3 linked regions of the Danio rerio genome follow. The protein of the gene in region 2 purifies or fractionates together with the protein of the main gene of each other region. This does not show direct contact. Links are inferred from orthologs where the notes say so. Each region holds a gene or a part of one and is shown on either strand. Other genes may lie near its edges.

Evidence for each region. Proteins that work in one complex are often made in the same cells at the same time.
Region 1: the proteins of ppp4r2b (region 2) and ppme1 purify together in Homo sapiens (affinity purification with mass spectrometry; 3 studies listed by BioGRID and IntAct, counting the BioPlex papers as one, with this or other methods). This does not show direct contact. The link is inferred for Danio rerio from reciprocal best matches to the Homo sapiens genes PPP4R2 and PPME1.
Region 3: the proteins of ppp4r2b (region 2) and tiprl purify together in Homo sapiens (affinity purification with mass spectrometry; 5 studies listed by BioGRID and IntAct, counting the BioPlex papers as one, with this or other methods). This does not show direct contact. The link is inferred for Danio rerio from reciprocal best matches to the Homo sapiens genes PPP4R2 and TIPRL.

What each region holds. Positions count from the first base shown.
Region 1 is NC_133196.1:26,828,252-26,831,751, forward strand, and holds part of ppme1 (protein phosphatase methylesterase 1), read right to left. Parts: intron 2,927-3,500; coding exon 2,827-2,926; intron 2,723-2,826; coding exon 2,630-2,722; intron 162-2,629; coding exon 104-161; intron 1-103. UniProt on the Homo sapiens protein: Demethylates proteins that have been reversibly carboxymethylated. Demethylates PPP2CB (in vitro) and PPP2CA. Binding to PPP2CA displaces the manganese ion and inactivates the enzyme.
Region 2 is NC_133181.1:46,718,841-46,722,865, reverse strand, and holds the start of ppp4r2b (serine/threonine-protein phosphatase 4 regulatory subunit 2-B), read right to left. Parts: upstream 2,801-4,025; 5' UTR 2,711-2,800; coding exon 2,677-2,710; intron 1,392-2,676; coding exon 1,310-1,391; intron 819-1,309; coding exon 648-818; intron 1-647. UniProt on the Homo sapiens protein: Regulatory subunit of serine/threonine-protein phosphatase 4 (PP4). May regulate the activity of PPP4C at centrosomal microtubule organizing centers.
Region 3 is NC_133185.1:310,319-312,473, reverse strand, and holds part of tiprl (TIP41-like protein), read right to left. Parts: intron 1,974-2,155; coding exon 1,874-1,973; intron 1-1,873. UniProt on the Homo sapiens protein: May be a allosteric regulator of serine/threonine-protein phosphatase 2A (PP2A). Isoform 1 inhibits catalytic activity of the PP2A(D) core complex in vitro. The PP2A(C):TIPRL complex does not show phosphatase activity.

The DNA of each region.
Region 1 (3,500 bases), on a different chromosome or scaffold from region 2:
AAGAATGATGTTGAAATATGATTTTAAAATCTATATTCCTTATTTTTTTTTCAGCTAATTAAAGGAAGATTTCTGAAATTAACACAATTAATAAATCAGTTACCATGTCCTCTGAGGTCCATCGCTACAACTCTGCAGGTGATCCGGCTGCAAATAACAGACTGAAAATACAAAAATTGCACAATATTAGACACCAAAAACTAGCATCAATTGTAGGAGTGAAATAGTAATATTATTATATGGCTCTGAAAATTATGAAGAGACTACATTCAGATTATTGTTACTTTTCTGGATTTAAAACATGCGTTTGCGTTTTAATTTATAAAACATGAATAATGTGTCTACCAAATTTCAATAACAAAAGGTTAAATGTTTACAGACATTACATATTGAACACAGAAAATGACCTAGAAATATATCTTTCCCAGTATAAAATGCTTTAGATTTTGATGTTTTTTTAAGCATAGATTAACATTAATTTTATCACTTGATTCAACTCAAAACACGTTGCATATACAGTTGAAGTCAGAATTATTAAACCCCCTGAACTGATAGCCCCTTGTTTATTTTTTTCTTCATTTTCTGTTTAAAAGAGAGAAGATATTTTCAACACATTTCTAAACATAATAGTTTTAATAACTCATCTCTTAAAAACTGATTTATTTCATCTTTTATTTTTCAAGACAATTCTATACAGCTTAAAGTGACAATTAAAGGCTTAACTAGGTTAATTGGGTTAACTAGGCAGGTTAGGGTAATTAGGCAAGTTATTGTATAACGATGATTTGTTCTGTCAACTATCGAAAAAATATATCGCTTTAAGGGGCCAATAATTTTGACTTTAAAATGTTTAAAAAAATTAAAAACTGCTTTTTTTTAGCCAAAATAAAACAAATAAGACTTTCTCCAGAAGAAAAAAAACATTATCAGACATGCTGTGAAAATGTCCTTGCTCTGTTAAACATAATTTGGGAAATATTTAAAAAAGAAAAAATAAATTCAAAGGGAGGCTAATAATTCTGACTTCAACTGTACTTATATGCACATGCAAATAAACACCATGGCATCCTTTATTTAATAAAAAAGCAAAAACTGTATTTACTGTTATTATATTTTTATTACTCATATAATATTTTATTTATTTTATCTCCTGCAAAAAAAAAAAAACTGAATGTTTAGCATCATTACTTTGATCTTCAATGTCACTTGATCCTTTAGATGCCATTCAATTATCCTGATTATACTGAATCGCTGCTTCATAGTTTTGTGGAAACTAGCAGATTAATCACTTTTTGTTTTCTTTGCTCTCTCATTTGATGAACTTTTAATACATCATAGCTAAATAACATTTTAAAAAGTAAATAATAAAATGTTATAATCAAAAACAACTGATTTTAAAAAATGTAAACAACAATATACAGTGAAAGTCAAAATTATTAGCCCTCCTGTGAATTTTGTTTTCTTTTTCAAATATTACGCAAACACTGTTTCAAGAGTTTACACTTAGCTGATGATTGATTATAAGCAAGTTTGGCATGCTGTCCCGGGAGAGAGCCCTGAGCTCGAAGGTTCTTGAGCCCTGGGCTCCCTCCCGTTTGGAGGAAGAGAGGGGAGCCTCGAGCTCAGGTAGATCTCGACAACTCCCCTTTTTATAATAGCTAAAGATTAAGATTGAAGGCTATTAAAAGATATGCTGCATTATTAGATTACCTGTATTGAAATTTAGATTTAACGATTAACTTGTTGTACATGTTTTTGGAATGTGGGAGGAAACCGGAGAACCCGGGGAAAACCCACGCAAGCACGGGAAGAACATGCAAACTACACACAGAAACGACCACCGGCCTGTTAAGGAACTAGAACCGGTGACGTTCTTGCTGTGAGGCGACAGTGCTAGTCACTGAGCCACCGTGCTGCCCTATGGAGGGAAAGGTGAAAAGGTAGGGGTGGAAGGGGGGATTCTTCAAATCGAAGATAATTGTAGTGAGAAAACCCTGGCTCTTTATAGTGGTTAGGAATGGCCTGATTGGTGGATCAAGCATGCTAATGCAGAACCAGCCGTGTTCAATCATAATCACGTGCTCCTCTCGAAATTAGTTTATGAATAAACTTCACTTATCAGAGTAACATATAATTTACAGTTTGTCTGATAATATTTTTTCTTCTGGAGAAAGTCTAATTTGTTATATTTTGGCTAGAGTAAAAGCAGTTTTTAGTTTTTAAAAACCTTTTAAGGTCATTATTATTAGCCCCTTAAGCAATATATATTTTTTGATTGTCAACATAATTATACAATGATTTGTCTAATTACCCTGACCTGCCTAGTTAACTTAATTAACCTAGTTAAGCCTTTAAATGTCACTTTAAGCTGAAAACTAGTGTTTTGGAAAATATCAAGTAAAATATTATTTTCTGTCAACATGACAAAGATAAAATAAATCAGTTATAAGACATGATCTATTACAACTATTATGTTTAGAAAAGTGTTGAAAAAATTCTTACTATTAAACAGAAATTTTGGAAAAATATATGCAGGTAGGCTAATAATTCAGAAGGGCTAATATTTCTTACTTCAACTGTATATTATGCTTGTATTCATGTGTGGCTTTGAGAGATATATTAAACTCACAGTAAAGACGGCCCAGGACAGAGCAGAGTGACCTCCTCCATGCAGAAGCAGCAGGACGGGACCATGAGAGCCACTGCTGTAAATTCTGAATGTGTACACAGGAGTTAAAGGATGCTTCACAAAACAAGATGGAAACCTCTGAATAAAAAAATAGCATAATTGGCCAACAGTCTGCTCCACAGTAAAACAAAGGATATGTCTTTGCTGTTGTCATTTTCCACCTCCACCTCCACGTCCTCAATAGTTTCAAAGTAATGACTCCATGGAAGGGGAGAGAAATCTCGCTTTCTTCCTGGTCTGCATAAAAAAATCACGTCATTAACATCTGAGTGTTCTTGTGGATATTATATGTACTGTATATCCTTATATCGTTGCAGTTTAAATGTCTGACCAACTGGATATAAAGCACAACAAAATCGAAGAACAAATTGGAGAAGCAATTTTAAACAAAATATAGCCTACATGAAGATGACAAGTTGTTTTCAGGAGTTTGATACAACTTGACATTGCAATTTTTTTTTCTGAAGTATTTGCTTTAGCAGGTGAATAAACTTCTTACTCCCAATAGTCTGTGGTTATAATATAATAGGTAGATGTTGGCTTTACATTAACAACAGGGAATCTTTAAATTAAACCTTTTCCCATACAGTTTGTGTTAAACTGATTAATCTAACATTTTGCATCATGATGTAACTATCTTGGTCAAGTATTAGAGGTGTAACAACACTGTGATATTGACATCAATCAGCAGATCAACGAAACGCCTATTATTATGTATCGATGTTAAAATATTAACAACATAAACATTTTTAGAGACACCTTTATTTGGTCACATGTACAGTATATGAGATTTTAACGGTATGATAACCTT
Region 2 (4,025 bases):
TCAGAATGATGGAATGACTTTCTAACAAGAGCTTGAACATGAAGTGAAGATTAAGGATACAGATGAGAGGTTTGCACTGATGTTGCATGTTGTTTTTAAACTCAAATAAAGCCTAAATGTATGTGATGTCGTTCTTCTGTAATCGGTAACATATCGGAAACTATAAGTTTCTACATGTGTTCATACATGTTGCATTTATTTATTTATTTTATATAAATTGCAGATGTTTCAGTAAGCCATTTCGCACTATTTTGCATCATTGATCTGCAGTTATAATCAAATCTTGTTCATAGACAAGTTAGTACTGAACATTTATACACAAGTATTTATGTGTATAAAGCACCTGTTTTGTGAGAAGTGCTTCTTATATGATATGTGAATGACCTGTACTGCTTTACTTTGAAATGTCCTCGAGCGAAAATGATGTAGACAAACCTTCTGTCGTACACCAAGCCCAACAAAAGAGGACCATTTTTACCCTTTAGGTGGTTGGATTCCAAACCTGATAAAGGTGACCCGTACCGTACTTTACCACTCAGTGGAAACGGGACATTAGATGTTGTGCCGATCAATTTCAGATAATGAATGATAGACATTAAAATTGCCACAACACAATCCCACAGTTTCGCCAAGAATAACAAACTTACCCATTGTATTCATTGACAATCTTTAGGATTCGCTCCTTCATTTCTTCAAAGGGAATTGACTCCACGTTAGGGTTGGCAGGCCCTCGTTGCTCTGGAGCCGATGCATGGAAATCCTCCATTACTTTTTCCAGTTTAAATACGAAGTAGGTTTTAAATTGAGACCAGGACACCCTGAAGAGATATACAGCATTCACAGCTCAGTTTATTTTTAGATTTGTCAGTCACAAAGCTGTTTATTATATAACTTACTATTATATGGGCTTTAAATGATTTGGTTGCAATTGTTACATAATGTGAGTAGAGTCCAGGGTGATGTGAGTGGCATAAAACCAGCACGACTGTTAATAACACATTTCAGTGTCATTGAGCAAATATATTTGACAGCAGAAGTATTACAAAGAGATAGATATTAATATTTTTTTAATTTTCATTCATGTATTCTAAAGAGTTCATGAAATGAGAGCAGGTCGGCCAAGTCAGATCTAGTCGATAAGTACAAGGTTTAGTTTGTTTTGGAACAAAACCAAAAGGTCATATAACAACCCACCCTCTGGTGTTACCTAAAAAAGCAGTTATGATTTTTAACAAACCACTAGAAGACAAAGGTGAAAAGGGTTTCTGTGTCCCACTTAGATCACTCATAGATATTTGAATGTACTTACAGGGTTTCCCCAGTCTTTGCAATATGGCACAAAAACTGGTCCAAAACTGTAGACGCTTCCTTCTTCACCTTCTTGTCAAAATCTGCAGGAGACAAAAGCAAAAGTTATTTTGGAGTGCATGCAACTCCAAATCCTGCTAATGCATTTCAGTCTATCAATAATATTTTAGTTCTGATTGACTCCATTCTAGTTCAGACATCACAAATATAAGGAGGAAATAGTCGTTTATTGTTCTTTCAATTATTTGTTCGTATTTTCACACAACTACAAAGCGGCTCTCTTTCTAGATAATCTTCATGCATTAAAACCAAACACAATTTTCTATTCTGAGCGTCCAGAAACAACTATAATATTATGCACACCTTTATGAAAATATAGAATCATTTTCCAAGCACAGATCTATTAACAGGCAAGCAGTGCAACTATGATAAACATCTAGGTTATGTAAACATGTCGTTTGTAATCTTAAACTCATTTACAAGTTCCATAACTTTGTTATATCTTTTAGCCGTTACCTTTCAACAATTTGGAACAATATATATATATATATATATATATATATATATATATATATATATATATATATATATATATATATAATCATTTAGTGATCAAAACCACTTCCACTTCCCTAAAAAATAAACAATATACGTATATAAAAAATAAATATAAGAACGGCAAATCACTCATTTACATCAAATAGGCCTTGATCAGACAATTGTGAGCTTTCATTAGAAATATGAGAAAATATCCTATTCCAAACACACTTACATAAAGCTCATACAGGTACAATAAATAGTAGTATTATATTATTTTGTCACCAAAACAATTTGTACTACTCACAAAAATCATTATTAAAACATATAAATAATAATGAGAAATTATTCATTGATATTTTTTTAAATAAACTAGGCTAAGAGCAGAGCTAAAGTGCAACTTAAATGAAAGATTTCTCGTTAAATACAAAAAGAAAATCACGTTAAAGAAAGAACAAACTCACAAAGAAAATGTTAAAATCATTCACAAGTTTATAGTTAACACTGAACACACAGATGTGTAAGGTTAGAATACTTAATTCAACTCTACATCATAGCAGTCCACTACCTAGTAAACTCCAACAATAGCCTTTTTATTAACGTATTAATAATCCAACCCTCCATTTTCTGACAGAAATTTAAAGTCGTCGTAAAAATAGAAGAATGAAACCTGCTGATCTGCTCTTAACACACAACAGACCTCGAAAAACAGGAAAAGCCATTTAGCCACAGGCCATGCTAGCATGAGCTAACTCACATTAACCAGACAATAACCACATATAACTCCATCCTAAACTCGCCCTGACCGCCTCAACACACGCGACCGGGTACCTTTGAGAGCCTCCAGAAGAGTGTCTATCTCCATGTCTGTGTTGTTTTCCCTGTCTCCTGTTGGAAAGCGAGAGCTGATGGCTGCTGTTGAGCTCAGTGAAGAAGAGGAGATGGGAAACATTTCAATATGGCGGCGACTGCGACGTCACTGCCGGCCGCTCTTCAGGAGCGCTGGCTGTTGCGCAATAGCATGGCCGCGTTCCAAAGCCTAGTCAGCCTCCTATTTAGGCATCATTTCTGGGTGGTTGAACACAGTGTTTTTGTTGCTGTGCAGCAATACCTAGTGAACGTCTCGTGTAGGCGGTATTTTAAAGCAGAATAGTCACATTTCGAGCTAAGTGTATGATCATAAGTGCTGTTAATGTTTAGCAGCCTACAAGGATTTGAAACACTTCTATGTGACTTGAATTATTTAACCTATTTATACCTGAACTCTCGTCTGTAAATTTAATTAAACATTAGAATGACTAATCTGGCTCTGAATTGTAACTAAAACAAAACGTAGCCTAGCCAAATCATTCAGCTACAAAGCCTAGGCTACTACAGGGCTGATGTCTAAATAAATTGTCTGAGGGGTATTTATATTGCACTGTACTGATTAATAATAATAGATAAATATAATACAAACTGTGGAATGGTCATTTAAGTGTACACCCATAATGATATTGAAGTAGGCATCCTGCAAGGATTTGAAACAACCTGACTGAAATAATCAGCCCATCCAGCAAGCATTTTATGTTTTTAAAAGAGGTCTAATAGATGTCCAAAAATAGTCATCTCGGCTAAAACAAGGCTAAATTTGGGCTGTCAGTGAAAATAGAATAGACGTTTAAGAATATAGGCCAAAACTAGACCAGTCATCAAATAAACAGAAATGAAAGACTACACATATAGAGTCTGTCTATTTTACGACTAGTCTAGTTTTGGGCTATTCTTACACGTGTATTGGATTTTCAGTGACAGCCCAAGTTTAGTCTTGTTTTAGCCAAGCTGCCTACGTTTAGATGTCTTTTAGACGTCTATTAAACCCAAAAGTGTTTGCAAATAATAACTGAACACTCATCTTTCTGTCTAAACACGTGACTGTTTCTTGCTCTTAATTTTACAAAATGTACTTGTAACCATCCAACTAAAACATCATGCTAATATTAGGTCATCTTTATAGTGTCTTTTAAAAATGTTAGTGTTTCCAGTGCATAGACTATAGCCTATTGTCTGGGGGTTAATACAATATATTGCAAGACAGCATGGAAATAGGCATCTTACCACGATTTAACAACAACAACAACCTGACTGAAATTAATAGACTATTTATAACTGAATACGTCTCTTTTAATAAGCACAGGTAG
Region 3 (2,155 bases), on a different chromosome or scaffold from region 2:
TCTGGAATCTGATTGGCTGATAGCCGTGTGATATTCGCAGTAACAGCACTGGTCCAGCCTCTTCACCCTCGTGTATTCCTCCGCCCACAGAGAGTGACAGCAGATCAGTACACTCACTGCAGTCGGACTCATACTGCAGCGCTGGCCATCATCGTGCACTGCCGAGGCTTAATTAGGTGAGAATGGAGAGGTTTAGAGTGCAGCTCGCATGTTATTATTGAGGACAGCTTTTGACTTTTAAATATTCATTATTTCTGAGAGACAGCGCGTCGGCGGCCATCAGCCTGCCATACTGAGCAGAGCAAAGATCATCAACTTTGTCCATCCACAAGATGGCGACAGAGACTGTATAATGCGCACTTAGAGGAGGAATAACCAGCGTAATGTTAAACTGCAGCTGATCACTCCATGATTAAGCAGGTCAGAGACACTCGGAGCGGATCTCTCTCGCTGTGCTGCAGTGCTGTATTTATACCACAGTAACTGCAGTGTCGAGTGTGAGATGGCACTCAGACATCAGGAATGTGTGTGTTCTGTGTTGGCCATCTGCTTGTTTCTGATGCGTCTCCTGTTTTCATTACTGCAGACTGGTTCAGTAAACAGAGAGACAGAAGAAATGCCCGCATGTGTTCAGTGTTTCTCCTCATCTCAGACACAGCAGTGATCTGCTAGTGTTGTTCTGCTTTGGCTTTTTCAGGGTTCACTATAGTGATCTCCTGACTGCAGCAGAGGAACGCTGGGAGATCTCTGTACAGCACAGGTGTCAAACTCGGTTCCAAAAGGGCCGCAGCCCTGCACAGTTTAGTTCCAACCCAAATTAAACACACCTGACCAAACTAATGGAGTCCTTCAGGCTGGTTTGAAACCTACAGGTAAGTGTGTTGGAGCAGGGTTGGAACTAAACTGTGCAGGGCTGCGGCCCTCCAGGAATTGAGTTTGACAGCCCTGCTGTAGACTGATGACACTTCCTGCTGTTCAGCCTTATCATCTTAAACTGTGAGCAGAATCAGCTGTTCTGTCTTCACTGTAGACATTACGCTGGAGAATCATTCAGACACCAGCTCTACAGTGATGATGGGGAATGAGCAGCGGCTTCTGCTGTTCTGACGTCAGCTGCAGATGTGAATGAACGGCGAGAGAAAGTAGTTCCTCATACACAAGGGTTTTTAGACTCTCTGAGTTTGATTTTCAGTTTTATACACACAATTATACGGTCAAACTGTTGTATAAATGCAATATAACACGAGTAGCAGTGCCATATGGCTGTATATCGCCACTGGTGGGACACTAAGACACTCAGCCTGTGGCCTCGAGCCAACACAGCCTCCCACCAGTGCGATATACAGGCGATAGTGGGATATAGTTATGTTCATATGCTTGAACATTTCCACAATATCAGATTTGGATCAGCCTATATGGCAGATGCTGATCCAGCAAATCTGATATCAGATCAGTGTGTCCAGAATGACTGAAAGCATCCACTGATCCGTCTAGCAGCTTAAACATGACCGCAGCAGATCACAGCATGCGTTTCATCAGCAAATGCAACATGTTCAGCCCAGTTTCAAGGCAAAACAAATAATTAAAAGATTTTAATGTTAATATGTGATGAAAACCCTACAGTATCTGCTGGAAACACTCTGCTGAATATCTGCTGGAGAGAGCTGAAGAATGAAAAAGCCCGAGCACAGTTACAGAGAGACCAAGAGCTGAGGCCCGCGCACACCAACAGAACCTTACATACGAGCATGCCATTACACCTGTTATTGATCCTCCACAGTGGCGTCTGCAGCTCTGTGTGTTCAGGCGCTGCAGTGTGGAGAAGCGAGGACCCTTAAAGTCTATATCTGTGTGTTGCAGTGTGAGAGCGCACCTTCATCTGTGTCTGTTCTCCGATCAGCGTTCCCCTGTAGTCGGTGGTGTAGGTCCAGTCATAGCGCTTCACCGCCTCTGTAGAGTGCTCAGACTGAGCCCTGTGGAGAAACACACACACACACACACACACACACACACACACACACACAGAGGAGTTGGGATTTGGGATAAACTGGCTCATTATCGTGCTGCTGATCATCCTCCACACTCTGTCATGTTGACTTCACCACATTACTGTGGACTCGGCTGTGTGCTGATCTGCCGTTCAGGAGTCTGGCAT